Linked DNA regions of Pelodiscus sinensis. The protein of the gene in region 1 purifies or fractionates together with the protein of each later gene. This does not show direct contact. Links are inferred from orthologs where the notes say so. Each region holds a gene or a part of one and is shown on either strand. Other genes may lie near its edges.

The links. Proteins that work in one complex are often made in the same cells at the same time.
Region 2: the proteins of BSG (region 1) and SYMPK purify together in Homo sapiens (co-immunoprecipitation; 3 studies listed by BioGRID and IntAct, counting the BioPlex papers as one, with this or other methods). This does not show direct contact. The link is inferred for Pelodiscus sinensis from reciprocal best matches to the Homo sapiens genes BSG and SYMPK.

Annotation. Positions count from the first base shown.
Region 1 is NC_134729.1:15,825,471-15,836,132, forward strand, and holds the start of BSG (basigin), read left to right. Parts: upstream 1-6,640; 5' UTR 6,641-6,725; coding exon 6,726-6,801; intron 6,802-7,918; exon of another isoform or gene 7,919-8,533; coding exon of another isoform or gene 8,534-8,552; intron 8,553-10,662. Other genes in the region: basigin-like, read left to right, coding at 8,534-8,552.
Region 2 is NW_027465849.1:6,379,352-6,389,538, reverse strand, and holds the start of SYMPK (symplekin), read left to right. Parts: upstream 1-5,937; 5' UTR 5,938-6,084; intron 6,085-6,802; exon of another isoform or gene 6,803-6,805; 5' UTR 6,806-6,924; coding exon 6,925-7,032; intron 7,033-8,076; coding exon 8,077-8,142; intron 8,143-8,393; coding exon 8,394-8,447; intron 8,448-8,922; coding exon 8,923-8,996; intron 8,997-9,473; coding exon 9,474-9,600; intron 9,601-10,113; coding exon 10,114-10,187. UniProt on the Homo sapiens protein: Scaffold protein that functions as a component of a multimolecular complex involved in histone mRNA 3'-end processing. Specific component of the tight junction (TJ) plaque, but might not be an exclusively junctional component. May have a house-keeping rule.

The DNA.
Region 1 (10,662 bases):
GCAGCGAAGCTCTTCTCTCTCATAGAACGAGGCACACAGGACTCCCCGAAAGAGCGTTTGCTCTTCTGCAAAAAAAAAGTGAAAGTGCAAACATGTTCCTTGGATGCGGTGGGTTTTCTGGGATTCCTCTGGTGCCCCTGCAGTGTAGACGTACTCTCCGTGAGAATCTTGGCCTTTCTTTTTTGAAAAGTAGGATTCTAACTGAGCTGGGCAGATTTTTCGATGGAACTCGTTTCTGTTGGCAAAAGCTGGTGTGAATGAATTCAAAATATGGTGGCATCATCTTGGGATTTTTTTTGGTTCTGAAAGTCTCAAAAGGAAATTATAAAAGCAATTCTTCTGATGAGGCTGAAATGTTTCATTTAGTCTTCTAATTTAAATATGGAAGTCAGACACATGTTTTGACCTCGGCTACATGTTCTGGAATGCTCTGTGTCATGACACATTCAGCACTTCTACTTAGACCCAAGGCAGGATGAAATGAAATTGGAAAATCTCAGAATTTCACATAGGATGCAATTTTTGGTTTGTTTAAAACCAGTTCCAGTTTCTAAGGCTCGTGGTAAGAGAGAAAGGCCTAAAACATAACCGTGAGGACACCCCAACACTGGAAGGCAAAGGAAAAGACCCCGGCTTCGATTGTTTTTTAAGATCTCATGATTTTATCGTGGCTTGACTCTCAACAGTTGAACTCAAGGGCCAACTGCTGTAGCATGTTCCTGTCAAACCCAGGAGTTGAGTCTCAGGAAATACAACCAGGGAGCAGACCGATGCTTCCCATATCCTGCCCCCGCCGGGGTCTGCTTCAGCGGAAAGTTAACGCCTCTCCTCAGATAATGCACCTGGCTGTGTGCTTGGTGGGATAACCACGCTGACAGGGGGGCTACATCCGTCCTGATCCTGCCCTCTGGCTGCAGAAACAACGTGAACTTCCCAGGGTGGTGGGAATGAGATCAATTGACCTAAACCCAAGGGATGGCTTCAGACTTTGAAGTCAACTTGCTCCTGCCTTTTACTTTGTTATGTGGCCAGTGCATTGTTCTCTTCGCTGCCTCTACTCTCCCCACCAGAGTGCTCCCTCCCCCCTCCCCGGTTTAAATATTCTCTCCTGGGCAGACAGATAATGCCAAGACCAGAGCAGCTCTGAGGACCAAGGAAAGGGTCGCTGAGGAAGTGGAGGAATGAGAATGATCTGAAAGACAAGCATCCTTCACTGCACTGAAAGCCCCTAGCTCTTCAATGAGCCCATCATCACACTGGTATAATTAGCTTATCTGAGGGCATGGCTACCTAAGGCAGCGTGTAGCAGGTTTAAAACTAATAAAAGAGAGTTCTTCTTTACACAGCGCATAGTCAACCTGTGGAACTCCTTGCTGGGGGAGGCTGTGAAGGCTGGAACTATAATAGAGTTTAAAGAGAAGCTAGATAAAAAGCTTTATGGAGGTTAGGTCCATAAAAGGCTATTAGCCAGGGGATAAAATGGTGTCCCTGGCCTCTGTTTGTCAGAGGCTGGAGAGGGATGGCAGGAGACAAATCGCTTGATCATTGTCTTCGGTCCACCCTCTCTGGGGCACCTGGTGCTGGCCACTGTTGGCAGACAGGCTACTGGGCTAGATGGACCTTTGGTCTGACCCAGTACGGCCGTTCTTATGTTCTCATGTGTAGCAACAAGGCCGTCTCGACACTGTCATGTTAAAATGAAGGTCACCATGTGGGAACACCTGGGCTGAGAAAGGGTAACCAGGTCACCAGTAAGATCACCCTACGCAGGGGATTCTTACGGGTTCCGGTTAACCGATACCTGGTGGGGGCTAGGAGCTGGGCCTGCTGCCGACAAGGGCTGCTCTGGTGGCGGCTGGGAGCCTGGAGCAGCCCTCCCCAGATCCTGCTTAGCTGGTTAACCAATTAAACATGAGGAGAGCGCTGCTCCCCGAGGCCCAGCAGGTTAGCTAAGAGCATTCCAGCTACTGGGCTGGATGGACCTTTGGGCTGGCCCCGTACGGCCGTTAACCCAACACTTGCCCGGTTAACTGATTAACTGGGACGTTACGTCCCTGGGGAATGCTGGTGCTGATCAAATACTTCCACCCCCTACAAGGGGGGGCTCGCTTTACCGGCATTCCCACGCGCATTCACCGCCCAGGGCTGCCTGTCAAGCAGCGGCGACTGGATCAAGTGCCAGTGTCGCGCTGCCCTTGCTTCTCGCGTCCCTCGCCTGCCAAGGAACTCGAATGTGCATGTTGCTTTTTATAGCCCACACTCCCTGGGGCAGAGTTCTCAAGCTGGGCTGGCTCTGCTCCCCGATGCCCAGCTGGTTAGCCGTGTGCGGTCAGGCGGTGCCCAAGTGCCTGAGGAAGAGTCGGGGCTGGATTCTCTAAGGACACGATCTAGTGTGGCTTCCAGGCGATCTTCTGATGCCAGTGGGGTGCCCCAGGGGAAAAGACCGGGCACGGAGCATGGCTGAGAAACGCGTTCAGGGCCGCGCCCATCTCTTAAAGCCTCTTCTTGAGGGGACGAGGCACACGCTGACCTAGGAGCCAGCCATAAAAACGAAAGTTTAACACGTGTCTGTAGGAGACACCGCTGGAGATGACATGCAAAGGAGTCGGACTTGTTGTTGACCTGGGATACCAGATCCCCAGGCATGAGACTTTTGGGGAGAGGCAGGATAGTGGGGGGGGGGGGGAATTAGCCGTTAATGGGAGGTTTTTCCTGCTGCAAACCAGACCTTGTATTCTAACAGCTTTGCCTTTAACATGGCATGACTGGTCCTGATCCCGCATGTGCCCCTCCCAACGACCACAAACCCTGCAGGTTCCAGACTTTGCTATACAAGAATCTCCTCTCTCCCTGCCAGGGGCGACCAGTGCCTGCAGGGGGGAAGGGGTGGAAGGAGGACCGCCCAAGGGGCCGGGACATGTGGGGGCACCCCATTTAGCCATTAAAATGAGGGTGGGGATATACGGGTGAAGTGCACCTCCGGCATGCTCCCTTGCTCCCTTCCCCCACCAAAACGCAGCCACTTCTGGGATCAAAGACAAGAGGGACTGCCCAGAGCTACTTACAGAGCAGGCCAGCTAGCAGAGGATAAAAAGCAAAGCGCCAGAGCAGCTGTTAGGAGCCAAGGTGCTGGCTCCAGAACTCTTGTTCCGCCTTTTTGGCTGATCTTGATCCAATTAATATTCAGCATCAGTATGGGGAGGACAGTGTTGCTGGCAGTGATGAATGGAAAAAAACAGGAGGAGGCAGAAACATTGTAATGGGCACGAGCTGGAATTTGGCTGGAATGCGAATCTGTAAGGAGGCCTAGGAAGCGTGTGGTGTCTGCAAACACAGACCCGGCCAAAGTCCAGTGACATGGAGCACCAGCCTCTATACCTAGCTTTACTTGGGTTTTGACCTGGGGAGGGGGCGGGGGTTGTTTTTAAGGCTATTACAGCAACCTCTCCCCACCCAGCCGTGGCTGGTGCAGACACTGTCACAGTGGAGGTTGTATCTGTCTGATCTCCTTCTCAACCGCCCACAGAATCCATGTGGCTTCCCATAGGATTTTTACAGTAACAGCTAAGCACTGCTGAGGCAACCCCCACTAGGAACCCATCCTGGCCTGCCACAAGCAACATCCTAGCTATGGATCACGTGGTCTTCCACCTCGAGCAACCAGCAATTAAAGTGGCAGTGCGTTCCAGACTTCTGTAGGCAGTAAAACAGAACAAACCAAGGCCATAGAGGGATCCCTCAGTAAATACATGGTGCACGGAGGGTGTGGGGAGGGAAAGAATAGGTCTTCTCCCAGGAGCTGGTGGCTGATCAGCAAGAGGAACAATTGCTGCTGCTGCTCTGGAGCATCTGAAATGCTTTGTCATTCAACTTAAAGACAGTTGGAATTTTTGGCACTGAGCCTACTGGAGAAGATGAGGTTAGTCTCACTCTGACAGACTCCATCCCTGGGCCACTCGCTGTGTTATCCATCTGCTTAGCTGCCCTGACTTGCTCAGCCCCATGCACGCTGGCAGCAGGAGCGGCTCGAGGAGAGCTGCCGGCATCTGGCGCCCTGGGCGGAATGCGCGATTGGCGCCCCCGCTTCCATAGCCCTCAATGGCGTGATGTCATCATTGGGCGCCGCGTAAAATGCAACTGCTGAGGTTGCTTACATCCACAGGCCGCCCCTGGCTGGCAGCAATTGACAGAATAAACGCTGGGGTGGAGGCTGATAGTCTGGCTTTAAAAATGGCAGGTGTAGTGGGGCTGGAAATCTTGAAACCACACACAAATCCTTCTCACACAAAACACAGGACTGTGTAGCACTTTACAGACTAACAAGATGGTTTAATAGGTGATGAGCTTTCGTGGGCCAGACCCACTTCCTCAGATCAAATAGTGGAAGAAAATAGTCACAGCCATATATACCAAAGGAGACAATTAAAAAAATGAACACCTATGAAAAGGACAAATCACATTTCAGAACAGAAGGAGGATGGAGGGGGGAGGGAAGGGAGGGAGGTAAATGTCTGTGAGCTAATGGTATTAGAGGTGATAATTGGGGAAGCTATCTTTGTAATGGGTAAGATAATTAGCATCTTTATTCCTTCTATGTGTCTTTTAATTCAAAGCTGGTTTTCTGGGTTGGAACAAAGGGCGAGTACCCGGCTTCAACAGGCCTTGTTACACAGAAAGCTGATGGTGCTTTTGCTTTCCTCAAGTTTACTGCCTTTCTGAGGTGTGTGATTACTAAAATAAACACTCTCTAACATCCCAGATGGAAAAGCAATGCAGGAGTGCCTTTGTCAGGGCGTTCCTGGAGAAAGATGGCAATCTTGCTCCTTCATGTATTGCTGGTGTCACTTTCAGACCCTGGGGGTAGAGTGTTTCCAAACCAAAGCAGAGCCTCTCTTGAAGGGATTCTTCATTCCTATTATTAAAACAGACAAGGGAAGGTACAAAAATGAAATGATCAGAGTTGAGAACAGCTCCTGGATTTTAAGCCCCCTTGCTGTATATGCCTGATGAATGGATCACTGCCCAAGAATCCATCCAATAAGCAAGTCTGGAGCTAAGGGCTGTACTGTGTACTTTATTGCCAGGGCCAGCCCACAACATTTTGGCACCTGAGGCAGGGAGCTCAAATGACGCCCCCAGGCCCCCTTGCTTGGGCCAAAACTTTGAAAGGTCTCAATTCTGCCTCCTTCCTGTTCTACTCCTCTCATGGAACTGCTCTGCTACCTACCCCAATAAAGGAGAACTAACAACTTAAAATGCCTTGTTCAAAAAGTGTGAACTAGTGGTGTCCCTCCCCACCCCCAGTCTGACACCTGAGGCTGCTGCTTCGGGTGTTGCCTCATGGTAAGGCCAGCACTGTTTATTGCAGCAGTGAAGTGTAGGAAGTATTGTGTATAGTGAGCTGGAGGAGGGACAGCAGGACTCCTGCAGTTTTCTTAATCTGCACCCAGCTCTGCTGATGATTTGCTGTGCGACCTCAGGCAATGTACTGACTACTCTGTGCCTCAGTTCCCCTTTCTATAACACAGGGACATTGTGCCTCAAAAGCATCACAGAAGATTTGGGATGCCTTCTTCATTCAATGTCGGCAAAGTGGCATGAGACTGCCAGTGCGAAGGGAACCAGTGATCTGCTACACTGAGTGCCTGAGGAGGTCAAGCTATAGGCTCCCCATTGCCAAGGCACCAAATGTATTTCCACGCCACCCCTGCCCTCAGCTTCACGCCCCCTTGCTAGCTGCTGCCTGAAAGGGGAAGCACAGAGCTGCCCCTTTGGCAGGGAACTTCTCCCAGGGGTTCGGAGGAATGGCTCCACTAGTCCCAGAGGGGCTGGGTGTCCTACAGCAGAAACTGACCAGGAAGGCCAGTCTCTGCTCTCCCCCCACATGTTCTGTCTGGCTCATCCGCAGCAGGGGATGGAGGCCGTGCTGCGTGGAGTCCTGAGTCAGCCTCGTTAGGGGCCTTGCTGTGACTTGAGCTGCCTCTAAGTGATTTGGGGCAGGGGCAGACAGGCCCAGACATGGGTGTCTGCTCTTTCCCTGCCCCCCCCAAAATCCTTGTTCCCTCTGCCCTTCCCCCCACCTGCCTCAACCCCCTCCCTCCTATACCCTTCCCCCCCCACCCTTCCCCCCCTTGGTACTCCTCCCTTCCTGCCCCCCCTTGGTAGCCCTCCCCCCACTGCCCTTCCCCCCACCTGCCTCAACCCCCTCCCTCCTATACCCTTCCCCCCCACCCTTCCCCCCCTTGGTACTCCTCCCTTCCTGCCCCCCCTTGGTAGCCCTCCCCCCACTGCCCTTCCCCCCACCAGCCTCAACCCTCTCCCTCTCCCCTTCCCCCCTTGGTACCCCTCCTATACCCTCCCCCCACGCCCTGCCTCCTCATTTGCATAGTCCCCCTCTCTCGTGCGCACACGCGCACGTGACTTTCCTCGCTCAGCTCGGCCCCGACCTGCGCCCCGAGGACACGACCCTGCGGGTCACATGTCCCCTCCCGGATTCCGTCCTTCCCCGCCGTCGAAGGTCAGTGGGCGGGGCGCTGCCTCGATCTGGCCCGGCGAGCTCCGGTCGCCAGGAGGGGCGGGGCGCTTTGTGGGCCCCGCCCAGTCCGCGGCGCTCTGATTGGCCGCCGTGGGGCGCGCAAGGGCGGGGCGGGGCCGGGCGCGAGGTGACTTGGCTCGGCGGCGGCGCGCGCCGGCTCTTGGCGGGTTAGCGGCAGCGAGCGGCGACCATGGGGGCGCGCGGGGCCGGGGCGCTGGTGCTGCTGGGCGCGCTGCTGGGCGCCGTGACGGGCGCCTCCGCCGCAGGTAGGGCCGGGACCCGGGGCGCTGCAGCGGGCTGGGCCCTCTCGGGGCGGGGGGGGGGGCCGGGCCTGTGGGGGGGGCCCTCTCGGGGCGGGGGGGGGGGCCGGGCCTGTGGGGGGGGCCCTCTCGGGGCGGGGGGGGGGGCCGGGCCTGTGGGGGGGGCCCTCTCGGGGCGGGGGGGGGGGCCGGGCCTGTGGGGGGGCCCTCTCGGGGCGGGGGGGGGGGCCGGGCCTGTGGGGGGGCCCTCTCGGGGCGGGGGGGGGGCCGGGCCTGTGGGGGGGGCCCTCTCGGGGCGGGGGGGGGGCCGGGCCTGTGGGGGGGGCCCTCTCGGGGCGGGGGGGGGGGCCGGGCCTGTGGGGGGGGCCCTCTCGGGGCGGGGGGGGGCCGGGCCTGTGGGGGGGCCCTCTCGGGACGGGGGGGGGGCCGGGCCTGTGGGGGGGGCCCTCTCGGGACGGGGGGGGGCCGGGCCTGTGGGGGGGGGCCCTCTCGGGACGGGGGGGGCCTCTCGGGACGGGGGGGGGCCGGGCCTGTGGGGGGGGGCCCTCTCGGGACGGGGGGGGCCTCTCGGGACGGGGGGGGGGCCGGGCCTGTGGGGGGGGGGGCCGGGCCTGTGGGGGCCCTCTCTCGGGACGGGGGGGGGGCCGGGCCTGTGGGGGGGGGGCCGGGCCTGTGGGGGCCCTCTCTCGGGACGGAGGGGGGGCCGGGCCTGTGGGGGGGGGGCCGGGCCTGTGGGGGCCCTCTCTCGGGACGGAGGGGGGGCCGGGCCTGTGGGGGGGGGGCCGGGCCTGTGGGGGCCCTCTCTCGGGACGGAGGGGGGGCCGGGCCTGTGGGGGGGGGGCGGGCCTGTGGGGGCTCTCTCTCGGGACGGAGGGGGGGCCGGGCCTGTGGGGGCCCTCTCTCGGGACGGAGGGGGGGCCGGGCCTGTGGGGGGGGGCCGGGCCTGTGGGGGCCCCCTCTCGGGACGGAGGTGGGGCCGGGCCTGTGGGGGGGGGGCCCCTCTCGGGACGGGGGGGGGCCGGGCCTGTGGGGGGGGGGGCCCCTCTCGGGACAGGGGGGGATCTTCCTGTGGGGCGTCCCATGGGGTGGGCTCATGGGGGACCCTGCAGCGGGAGGGGGGAGAGTCTGAGGCCCAGCAGGGTTGGGGGGGCCCAGGGCTCTGCCGGGGACCCCCTGGTGCGGGGGGCCTGGGGCTGCTCTGGGGGCCGCAGGCTTCAGCGACTCCTCTCCTTGGTAGGGTGCGGTGGGAGGTGGGGGGGTGTCTGGGGCAGGGCCGGTGGGAACAGAGGGAGCCCTCCTGGGGCATGGCCCATGCAGTCCCTGGGTGAGGGACCTGGAGGAGCGGAATGGGGGAGGTGCAGCTGGGTGTTGCATGTGTCCAGGGGGCACCGATGTATGTGGGACTGTTCCTTACCTCCACCCCAGGGGGTGGGGTGTGTCCAAGCACAGGGAGATCTGGGGTGGGTATCCTCTTTCCCTGAGAGCGTGTGCCACCATTTCCCAGGATAAGAGGGTGATGGTGGGATTAAGAATGTGGAGGAGACTGGCTCTGGGCTGAAGGAGTGTGGGGAGGCAGAGGTGCATAATTCCTCCAGGGTGAGCTCTCCATCTGCAGACTGTCCCCACAGTAAGCTGTGAAGGAAATCCTAGATGGGCTGGGTAGTTATGTTCCGCTCACTCCAGACATGCTATAAGCCATTTCTCAGCCTCCCCCTGGGGACCATGAGTCTGCTTGCAGATGGAAACTCCATTAAAAGGTTCGTCTCTAATTAGCATTTTCTGTTTTTAATGTGAAGCTGGTTTGACACTCACATTTCTGTGTGTATGTTCATGTGTGTGTGTGTGTGTGTATAAAGCAATCAATAAAGAATGAAAACTAAGGTGGCTCTTACCAATCTAGTTATCAGAGCATGAGTTCATCATCTCACAAGGTCTGTCAGTACTAACTAATTTGCAGGCTTCAAAAAATGTGCATATAGGGCTTCAGTTGGTAATCTGCTAATGGAGGAACAGTGCTGCCCTATGTATTTCTTAGGTGTTCGTAATGTACCAGTAGTACCTCGAAACTCCTGTGTGGTGGCCATTTCGAAGATGTGCAACAGCATGGTCTTTGGGCATGGACAGAAATATGACTGCAAATGAACCAGGATTTGGCATTCCCTGAAGCTTTGTGACATTTCAGTTTCCCCACCTTCTGTGCTGTTCTCAAAGAAGCCTGCTGGATTTATTTACACAGGGCTATGGGTGTGCCTTAGGCCATAGGGAATCTGAGAAAACAAATAAGACCCAGGACTCTAATTCAATCCTAATACTTGCTCAGAGCAGTGGGATGTCCTCTGCAGTTATTGGGTCTTGCCCTATTTCGAGTTGTGTAGCGGTGGGTGGGATCTTTGTGGTTTTTCTGAGTCATATTTGGTACCTCATGAAAACTCAGAGGAGGCAAGTACACGAGGGAGAGAAATGCATGGATAGTAATAAAATGGCTCTTGCCTAGGAGCAAACTGCATCTTGTTTATACAGCAGGATTAAAGACAGAAAATGGCATTTGTTTGTCCCCCACAAGTCTTTCCTATCCAGAGGACTGTGACACACTATTCAACAAATTAAATTGGAACTTGTATTCCTCCCTTCCCTTGCTGTATGCATCTGTAGTGAGCTTGCATTCTTCTAGAAAAGCCTGACACTAACCCTCCATTTTAATACTGTGCACTGCTTCTCAAAATTAAGCTAGTCTGTCGTCCAAGTGCAGTATGTCACGGCTAATGTTTGTGCTGTATGTAAAAGCCTCACTTCCCATGTGAGGCTTCAGAAATCGGACTTGAGACACAATCCCCCCCCTTCCAAACAAAGCAGTAGGTTTTGGCTAGTGTATAGCCTCTCTCCTGCAGATGAATTTGTGCTTTGAAACACATGAAAAACAATGGCCTGGCAAGCCACAGGGCTATCTAAGCAACTTGTGGGAACATTCCCAGTTGGCCCCCTGTAGTCACACGTCTGTCCTTTGGTCAGTTTACATCTGGCTTTTGATGCCAATGTTGTTCTATGATGTAGTTTGTCAGGCATTGGTCTTACTGTAAATTTGTTAGCCTACTATTAAGCTTTGTCTGGGCAGCTGTTTTTGTTTTGTTTTTGCTTAAACAGAGGGGTCTCTGTACATGCCACTTTCCTTCCTTCCTTTGTCAAAGCTGCTTGCTGAAGATAACATCTTTACATCAGGAAGGCATTGAGGGGGACTCCTTAATAAACCATTCAGTTCTGCAGTGCCCCCTTAGCTATGGTGGGTTTCTGCAATGATGTGGATTTTCCTGAGCTTTGTGTTTTCAACTCCTTTCCCAAGGAATGAAATTGCAGTGTCTCATGTGTTAGGGTGCTGGCGCTAGGCAAAGCCCTGGAAAAAATCATGTTGGGTAGTTCTGGCCATCGTTTGGGCAGCTCAGTAGCTTGTTGCTCTGAGAACTGTGTGGTATGTCAGTATAGTTATATCCTGGCTTCTTTTATTAGGACTTCAAAGGTTACAGAGTGACTCTGGTTTGAAACAAAACCTTTAAATGGATCTCAGCAGCCTTCCTCTTATGGCTTGATTCCGTTAATGGGACTGAGATGAAAAATCCTTAATGTTAAAGCAGCTAATATAGAAATGCCTTACATGCTGGTTTATACTGATGAGTGCGTAGGTAAGAGAAGTGACTTGAAATCCTTGGGTCTAACATTGATTCTCTCAAAAATGGTCAAAAATGATCTTGATTTCATTGAGGACATGGATTTAGCTTCTCTTACAAATTCCAGTAGTACATCTTGGCAAATGGTTACAAGCTATTTTCTTCTTCTCCCTATTCAGTTCCTTTTTTGATTCTGTATGAATAGCTC
Region 2 (10,187 bases), on another chromosome or scaffold:
GACTATAGACCTATAGAGGGTGGGAGACCCCGAAGGGCCAGCGTTTATTCCGATCTAATTCCGCGGCCCGTCGGGGACATCAGTTGGCGGCTCCTGCACGGAGCCGTGAGCACGGGCGTGTTCACCCCCATCCCAGACACCTGCCCCTTCTGCGGCGTGAGGGAGAACCTGGCGCACGCCTACCTCGAATGCGCCAGGGTGCAGCCCCTATTCCGGCTCCTCCAGAACCTCTTATTGAGGTTCTGGCTGCACTTTTCCCCTCACCTTTTTGTCTATGCACACCCAATCCGTGGCCCCACAAAGTCGCGAGACCTCCTCGTCAACCTGCTCCTGGCCTGGCAAAGACCGCTATCTATAACACCAGGAGCAGGATGCTGGACGAGGGGTTCTCTGCGACTGTGGGGCCTATTTCCGTTCCTCCCTGGTTTCACGTATCCGGGCAGAGCTCCTCTGGGCGGCGTCCACTGGCTCCTTCGACAGCTTTGAGGAGCAGTGGGCGCTGTCCGGGGTTCTCTGCTCGCTGTCCCCATCCGGTTCCCTAGTTATAAACCTTTAGCCCGCACGCCTTGCCCTTTTTGTCATTATTTGTCCCCAGGAATTAGTTGAGCACGGGTCCAGTCGTCCCTCCCGCAAGGCTGGGGGAGGGGCTTTTAGAAAGCCCGCCCACTCTCCCGTGTCCTCAAATAGACCCAGTGGGGGGCTGTGACAGCCCCCAGAGAAGGGGGCTCCCGGCACCTCGGTGCTAATGAAAGAGTCGAGTCCTGCACTGAATTAGGGACAGGTTTCAGGGACCCTCACCCGGTGCTGAGATGCAGCTGCCTCTGGGGGGGTGCAGGGGCTGCTTACACAGGGACCCCTCACTCAGCGCTGAGATGCAGCTGCCTCTGGGGGGGTGCAGGGGCTGCTTACACAGGGACCCCTCACTCAGCGCTGAGATGCAGCTGCCTCTGGGGGGGGTGCAGGGGCTGCTTACACAGGGACCCCTCACTCAGCGCTGAGATGCAGCTGCCTCTGGGGGGGTGCAGGGGCTGCTTACACAGGGACCCCTCACCCGGCGCTGAGATGCAGCTGCCTCTGGGGGGGGGGCGCAGGGGCTGCTTACACAGGGACCCCTCACCCGGCGCTGAGATGCAGCTGCCTCTGGGGGGGGCGCAGGGGCTGCTTACACAGGGACCCCTCACCCGGCGCTGAGATGCAGCTGCCTCTGGGGGGGTGCAGGGGCTGCTTACACAGGGACCCCTCACCCGGCGCTGAGATGCAGCTGCCTCTGGGGGGGTGCAGGGGCTGCTTACACAGGGACCCCTCACCCGGCGCTGAGATGCAGCTGCCTCTGGGGGGGTGCAGGGGCTGCTTACACAGGGACCCCTCACCCGGCGCTGAGATGCAGCTGCCTCTGGGGGGGTGCAGGGGCTGCTTACACAGGGACCCCTCACCCGGCACTGAGATGCAGCCTCCTTTGGAATGAAGTGAAGCAGTTATTTAAAAGATGCAGCAACATCACACTGCTGGTTGGGACCGAAAGCGGAAGAGGGGCCATATCCCAGCTCACAATCCCCTCTGCTTTTGTATCTCCCCACACACAGCTCTGCCCGTGCCCCTCACTCCTGACCCGCAGTCCCCTGCCAGCCCAGCCCTGGGTTCCCCCAGACCTGGTGGTGCCCCTCACTCCCAACCTGCAGCCCCTGCTATCCTGACCCTGGGTTCCTTGGCAAACATGAGGGGCAGGGTGTGGGGCTGGTAATGTCGCTCGCTTTTCCCCACTGCCACTGCCCCAGTCTGAACCCAGCGCGGGCCCCCTGCCCTGGCCAATGTGTCTCCCCTTCCCCCTCTCCCATGCCCTCTCCTGCCTGTTTACCTGCCTTTGGCTTCATCTCTCCCCAAAGGCTCCTGTTACCTGCTGGTTCCCCGGTGCCCCGGCCGTTGTCAGGAGAACGCTTGATCCGGCCGCTGGTTTTGGGATTAAGGCACCAGAGCAAGCACAAAAGAGCCAGCGAGCCGAGGGGCCACAATTAACTAATTACCTGCTCGGCCTTTAATCCCCGGCGGGGAGCGCGTAACCCAATCGCACCCCCTTATACAACGAGGCTCCTGAGGGACTGGCTGAGCCAGGCACGACCACCCACCCCCAGCACCTCAGCCCCTCCGCAGGGAGACGAGACCGTGGAGCGCAGCAGGCTCCTTAATCCAGCAGATAAAGGCAGAGCAAGATTGGAGGCTGGGAGCTGAAACGAGAGACAGTCAGGCTAGAAATCAAGTGCCAATTTTTCAAAAGGAGGGGAATTAACCATTGGACTGAACCCAGAATTCCTGGCTTCCAGCCCCCCTGCTCTAACCACTGGGCCTCACTCCCCTCCCAGAGCTGGGAATAGAACTCAGGAGTCCCGGTACCTAGTCCTGCTGCTCTAACCACTGGGACTCACTCCCCTCCCAGAGCTGGGAATAGAACTCAGGAGTCCTGGTACCTAGCCCTGCTGCTCTAACCACTAGACTCCCCTCCCAGTAAAACTCAGGAGTCCTGAACAGTGGGCTGGCAGCAAACAGCCTCTCAATTTTGGGGATGGATTGAATTCAGACGGGCTAAGCGAACTGCAAAGAAATGGGAAGGGGAGGATGGGGGGTGGAAGGAAGTGAAGTGGAAGGGGGCTGAGTGATGGCAAAGTGAGTGAGCATTGCCAGCAGATCTAGGGGAGCGATTATTCCCTTTTATTTGGCACTGGGGAGCCCACATCTGGAGTATTGCGGCCAATTCTGGGGGGCCCCGTACAGAAAGGACGTGGACGCATTGGAGAGAGTCCAGTGAAGGGTGACAAAAATGATTCGGGGGCTGGAGCACTTGACCTATGAGGAGAGGCGGAGGGACTGGGGCTTGTTTAGTCTGCAGAAGAGAAGAGTGAGGGGGGATTTGAGAGCAGCCTTCAACTTCCTGCAGGGAGGTACCAAAGAGGATGGAGAGAGGCTGTTCTCTGTGGTGGCAGATGGCAGAACAGGGAGCCATGGTCTCTAGTTGCAGGGAGGGCATGAGGGGTCGAGGTTGGATATTAGGGGAAACTATTTCTGTAGGAGGGTGGGGAAGAACTGGGGTGGGTTCCCTAGGGAGGGGGTGGAGTCTCCATCCCTAGAGGTGTTTAAGTCTCGGCTTGACAAAGCCCTGGCTGGGATAATTGGGTCGGCGTTGGTCCAGCTTTGGGCAGGTGTCTGGACTCGATGACTCCTGACGTCTCTGCCCACCCTAGGAGTCTGTGATTCTATGAATGGTGACATAAGGCGTAACACGGTAAAACAAAATAAAATCTCCCTTACGGCGCCATTTTTGTCACCTCTCAGCAGCCCATGCCCCAGTGACTCACCCTCACTAAAGACACAGCCTACTGAAAGATCACCACCTCGCACGAGAGATACTCTCTCTGCTGGAGACGCAACATCCTTATGACGAACTATGCAAGAAGATCGGATGGGGCGACGGAAGAACAGCTGACCTCAAGGGAACATACTCTCGCTTACATTCCTCAATCCACCCGACCAATCGGTCCATCTCGGCAGGAGAAGTTTGGCTATACTGATGACCCATGCACTGCTGCCCAGGCCAAAGATCCAGGCTGAAGTTGTGTTACCAGTAGCGCAATCCAGGGTCTCAATCGGTTACACCAAGAACCGGCTGCGTGCCAGCCCAGACAGAACACAAGTGAATCTCTTCCCTCAGTGCAGTTATGAGGCTGGAAGCCAAATTGACATCTGGAATGAGGTACCCCTTGCCCGGTGCGGGGTTCCTGCCTGTTTCGGAGTGATGCCTGCCTGTACTCTCTTTTGAGGTCCACATGTAGGGTTGCCCGGTGACCAGTTTTGTACCGAACAGTCCAGTATTTGAGCTTTCTGTTCGGGAAAAAAATTGAGAAACTATAATTGAGTAACTAGAACTGTCCAGTATTTTCTCAATCAGACGTGATGTAGATTGTGATGTAATGTCAAGTGTGTCCAATATTTTTGTTGAAACCATCTGGCAACCCTACCCACATGGAGAAAGTGAAAGGCAAAGCTAAGTGCCTTGGACTTCAGGGCTCTATTCCCAGCTCTGGTAGCGGAGTGTAGGGTTACCAGATGGGTTTCAAAAAAATACCAGACACGTGATCTCAGAATGGGAGGGGGAGGGCGACCGGCCGGGAGGGGAGTGGGGCTGGCTGGGGGAGATCAGAGAAGGAACCGGCCGGCGGAAAGCAGGGCTTGCTGGGAGGGGGTTGGAGGGAGCAGGGCTGGCTTGGGGAGAACCAGCCAGTGGGGAGTGGGGCTGCCCCGGGCGCACGCAGATCCTGTGGTGCTGCCCATCCCGCGCATGGTCCCGGCGCGGCACACGGGTAAGTCTGGCCCCAGGGATTCCATCCCACCCTGGCTCCACCCTCCCCTCCCCCCACTGTGTAGTTGTGTACTGCCTGGCTGGTCGACGCGCTCACGCAGCGTGACTCACGCAGTGCGAGTGTGTCGACCAGCCAGGCAGTACGCAGCTACGTACTGATACTCATTATAACAATAAAACGTAGGTAATTAGAAAATACCCAACATTTCTATGTCCGGTATTTTCTCAATTTGTTTCCCAGACAGAAAGTTCAAATACCAGACTGTCCGGTTCAAAACCGGACACCTGGCAACCCTAGGGTAGTGGGGTCTAGTGGGTTAGAGCAGGGAGGCTAGAAGCTAGGAATTCTGGGTTCTGTCCATGGTGTCTGGTTTTGAACCAGACAGTCCAGTATTTGAGCTTTCTGTTTGGGAAACAAATTGAGAAAATAGAAATGTCCAGTATTTTCTCAGTAAGACAAATGTAGATTGTGATGTCATGTCAAGTATGTCCAGTATTTTTGTTGAAACCATCTGGCAACCCTATCTGTCCAACGCTTAACACACTAGGAGTGAACCAATTCAACTTGGGGAACCAGCCCAGCTCCAAACTGTCACGCCTGCACTTGGCTATTTGATGGCTGAATACACCTGTCTGGTGTGAGCAAAACTGGCCCATGCAGAGAAACAGGACCCGGCATTGCATGACAGCTTCCTCTACCTCCCGGGATGTCTATACCCCACCACAGCTTTTCCGCGCTTGCTGGAATCGCTCGCCCCGATATCGGCAGAGAGGTTGCAAGCAATATGGAACAATGACGACAGGTTGAAGATACTGGACATCAGCAGACATGGCTTTGGTTTGGATTGGCTAAAGTCTGTTCAAATGTGTTTATATGCCCAATAGGATGTACCATTAAGAAAACGGCCTGGTATAAATTTACTTGAACTTCACGCTAAGTTGGCTCGACCTCGACAGGAGTTGTGCTCCAGACACAGGCAAAGGGGGGCATATTTGGGTGGGCATATGGCTAAGTGGGTGGGCCCTGGCTAGGGTTGCCAGGTGTCCAGTATTGAACCGGACAGTTCGGTAGGCGATTCTTAAAGGGGCCACGCGCTTGCTTTCTTTCTTTCTTTCTTTCTTTCTTTCTTTCTTTCGTTTTTTGTTGTGTTTGTTTATTTAACAACTCTTGGGTCCTTTTTTTTCGGAATTTTTTTCTGAAACCAGCTGAGGCCCACCCAGGCCAAAATGGGCATCGAACTCCTTTGGGCGGGCGCAGGAGGGGGAGGGTCCGGCGGGGGGGGGTGAAAGGTGTTGGGGGAGGGGAGGCTGCTGCCCCTGGGCGGGGGATGGGCAGATTGTGGGTGGGGTGAGGGTCTAGGGCCAAGGGGATCACTGGGAGGGGGCGGTGGGGTCAGAGGTCAAAGGTCATTGAGGGGAGGCTGAAGATGGGGTCAAAGGGCACAGAGGAGAGGCTCATGTGACCAGGGCTCTCGGGTCAAAGGGCACAGAGGAGAGGCAGGGGTCGGGGTCAAAGGGCAGGTGGGAGCTGTCCCATCCCCAGGCCGGCAGCACCGGGCGACGGACCAAGTTACCCAGCGACCCCCGCGCGGCGCCTTCGCGCGGCCAGAACTACAGGTCCCAGGGGGCTTTGCGGCGCGCGCCTGCGCAGTGCGCACCGCCCGGGCCGCGGGAAGATGGCGGCCGGCAGGGGGCCGCGCGCGACGTGAGGGGTCGCCGGGCGGGATAGCGAGCGGGTGAGGGGGGGGCCGCTGGCCCGGGCGGGGGCGTTGAGAGGGGGAGGGGCTGGCGATGCGGGCGGGCTCGGGAGGGGGGGCTGGCGAGGGGGGGGCCGCTGGCGATGCGGGGGGGGCTGGCGAGGGGGGAGGGGCTGGCGATGGGGGGGGCGAGGGGGGAGGGGCTGGCGATGCGGGGGGGCTCGGGAGGGGGGGCTGGCGAGGGGGGGCTCGGGGGGGGCTGGCGAGGGGGGGGCTGGCGAGGGGGGGGGAGGGGCTGGCGATGCGGGGGGGCTCGGGAGGGGGGGCTGGCGAGGGGGGAGGGGCTGGCGATGTGGGGGGGCTCGGGAGGGGGGGCTGGCGAGGGGGGAGGGGCTGGCGATGCGGGGGGCTCGGGAGGGGGGGCTGGCGAGGGGGGAGGGGCTGGCGATGCGGGGGGGCTCGGGAGGGGGGGCTGGCGAGGGGGGAGGGGCTGGCGATGCGGGGGGCTCGGGAGGGGGGAGGGGCTGGCGATGTGGGGGGGGTTGCTTTGGAGGCTGCAGGGGGCTGGCCCGGAGTGGTGGGATCTGGGGGGTGCAGGACGGGGGCTGGGGGCTGCTTGGCAGTGGGGTGAGCTGGGGTTCCCCTGGGGAAACGGGGTGAGGCCAGGGCGGGGCCTGGGGGGTCTGGCTGGAAGGGGCAGGAGGGGGGCGGGGCTGGGGACCACTCCCAGCAGGGTGCTGACCAGTCGCCTCGTTAGCAGCTGGAGGAGCCAGGCCGAGGGCCACCCGGAGCGGCCGGCGCGGCGCTGCCCTTCCACAGACCCGTTGGCAGGGGCCGTATCCGCGCTCGGGCTCCGGCCCCGTCCCTGCACCCGGAGCCATGGCCAGCGGCACAGGGGATGGCGGCAACGCCCGCTTGAGCATCGCCTCCCAGTTCTTCACCCAGGAGGAGGGCAGCGGCACGGACAGCATGACCACCTCGGAGAGGGTGCGTGGGGAGCAGGCAGGGAAGGCTGGCTCTCATCCGGCCATGTGTCACAGGCCCAGGGGTGGGGAAACGAGATACAGGGTCTTTCCCCTCCGCCGGCTCTGCTCCAGCCCCAGGGCGGGGGAGTACCTGGGACCCAAGTTCAGGAAAAGTTAGTCAGGTCACCTGCCTTGTCAGTTACAGTCCACTTTCCATGTGTATAGTGAAGGTCTAAATGTTGGGGCTACATGATGTGCTCCCCAGTGATCTCCCTGCAGTGCACCGCGTCTTTACAGGCTCTGGCTAGCTCTTGTGAGGCCGCATAGTCTGGGGAGAAGGCACCTGTCTGGGTCTTCACAGACCTGGCTTCCCCCCTGCCCCTGCTCTTCTGGGACCCTTTGGGCAGACCCCTTCCTCTCCCTGGGGCTGGCTCCCCTTCTGCCTGTCTTGTCTGTGCAGCTTTTATCCCAAGGCCACTGACGCTGGGTGGGGATGTGATCCGTTTCCTGGTATATTGCACCGGTGCAACCCTGGCGTGGGCTATTCCCCTCCCCCACGCCAACAGGGTATGGCGGCCTCCACGCTGGAGGGAAACTAGACTGGTGTTGGCAGAGCCCTGGATCGCTGAGGGGGTAGATTGGAAGCCCTTTGGGGCAGGGACTATCTCTTGCGATGTCTGTTCAGCGCCTGGTACAATGGGGCCCTGATCTCAGGGGCTCTAGGCACTACCATAGTGCTAGTGGGATGGGTGTCTGTCACCAGGATAGCCATCGGCATTTGCCATGTACCCCTCCCAAGCTACCGCGGGCCGCCCCCCTGTTCTTGCCAACTGCCCCCTGTCCCCACAGGCCGCCCCTCTGTTCCCACCAGAACTCCTGGCCTGGTTGCCATCTCTGCTTGTGCTGTCCTGTTGTGCTGCGTGAGCAGTTATCTCTGAACTGTCGTGAGCTCTCAGCCTCGCTTGGCCCTTGGGTGTGACCAGTTTGATCGTCTTGGGAGGGATTCCTTAGAGCCAAGCTGCCCTCGAGTGCCCTGGTGCTTCCTCACGGGCTCCTCTCTCTGCAGGTGGTGGATCTGTTAAACCAGGCTGCCTTGATCAGCAATGACTCTAAAATCACCATCCTCAAAAAGGTGAGCAAGAACGCTGCCCCCCCTCCCCGCAGGAATGGGATGACACCAGGCTGGGAGTGGAGGACGCTGGGAAAACAGAACCCACCATATGCCCCTGGCTCACTCCACCCTGCACAGAGCCCCTCATGTCACAGTGGGTGGGTCCGTGGGGCAGGGCACTCCATGGGGGGGTGGGCAGATGGGCAATGGCTGATGCTGCAAAACCTCTCCACTGGTTCAAGACTCACCTGCTGTCCCTGCTTTCCCCATAGGTCCAGGAGCTAATTATAAACAAGGACCCCACGCTGCTGGATAACTTCCTGGATGTGAGTAGCCGTGGGCGTGCCAGGGGCGCCTTTCCTGACTCTCCTTGTGCCCATGCCAAGGGCTGATGCCGTATCACTGGCACTGCCACCCCTTCGCTCAGCAGCCCCCTCCCCATGGCAGCTGAACGAGGCGGAGAATTCCTCTGACTTGCCGAGCAAAGGACACGACAGAACATCAGCTCCCTGCTCAGTGGGCCCACAGCTTGGGGGCTGAGGTGTGGGGGGCTGCCCAAAGCTGGAGCCCCAGATGCCCGTCAAGCCTGGGCAGTGTCCGACGTAGACCCGAGGAGTGTGAATATTCTCACCCGGGCCTAACCTAAAACTTTCCGCAGCCTCCGCCCTGCCTGCGTTTGGGGGCGGCCGAGCTGTGCCTCGTGTTCCCAGCCCCGCTCTGCCCTGCCCCCTCCTCTTGGCCAGCTCTGCTGCCTGCTGGGCAGCTGGGGCCAGCCCTGACCGCCTGCCTCTCCGGCTGCAGGAGATCATCGCCTTCCAGGCGGACAAATCCATCGAGGTGCGCAAGTTTGTCATCGGCTTCATCGAGGAGGCCTGGTAAGGACGGCTTGGCTGCTGCACCCTGGAGCCCCTGGCTGTAACCTCCCTTCCCACCGAGTAGATGGGAGCCTCGTCCAGCCAGCTGCCTCACTCCCCACAGGCTGCAGCAGCTGGGAGCGCTCCCACCCCACTCCCTGCGCTCGCTTATCTCCAGCTAAGGTCCGTGCTGTGAGCAGGCCGGGAGCGGGGCCGGTAGGTTACAGCTGGGCTGTGAAGAGCCAGGACTCCTGGTTCTGTTCCCAGCAGGGGGAGGGGAGTCCAGTGGTTAGGAGCCAGGACTCCTGGGTTCTGTGCCTTGATCTGCCTTTGACTCCCAGTGTGACCATGGCAAGTCGTTCCCCCCCACCCTGCCTCAGTTTCCCTGCCAGTACAAGAGGTAAGGGGTCCATGGAAGCCAGCTGCGCTGTTCCTGGGCTGCTCGCCTCGCCTCGCCTCGCGCTCTCCTCCCTGAGTTTGTCCTCTCCCCCGCCCCAGCAAACGGGACATTGAGCTCCTGCTGAAGCTCATCGCCAACTTGAACATGCTGCTGAAGGACGAGAACGTCAACGTGGTGAAAAAGGCCATCCTCGCCATGACCCAGCTCTACAAGGTGGCTCTGCAGGTGAGCACTCGTCCGCCAGCGCCAGCCGGTGCGGCCCCAGCCTCTCTCAGCAGGGGGCGCTGCAGGAGGAGCTCCCAGCTATTCCAGCCTCTCCCAGCAGGGGGCGCTGCAGGAGGAGCTCCCAGCTATTCCAGCCTCTCCCAGCAGGGGGTGCTGTTGTGGGGGAGGGAGAGAACTCCCAGGTATTCTAGCCTTAGCCAGCATCCCACAGCGCCCCCTGCTGGGAATCTCAGGAGCTATGGGGAGCTCCCCACTGGCCTCTTGCAGCAGGGAGAACTTGCTGTGGGGGAAAATGCTGGTTACTCCAGCCCTGGCCTCTCCCAGCAGGAGGCGCTGCAGGATTGGCTCTGGCAAGAGCTGCTCTCTCTGGAGAGGCTTCAGGGGGGAGCAGGGTGGGGGCACTAGCCGTGGGGGGAGCTCCTGGCTACTCCAGCCGTGGCTGCTCCCACAGCGGAGTGGTCCACACAGGGCAGCCCGCCTTGGTTCTCACCTTTCCCTTCTGGCTCCCGGCAGTGGATGGTGAAGTCCAGAGTCATCAACGACCTGCAGGAGTCCTGCTGGGAGATGGTGTCGGCCATGGCCAGCGA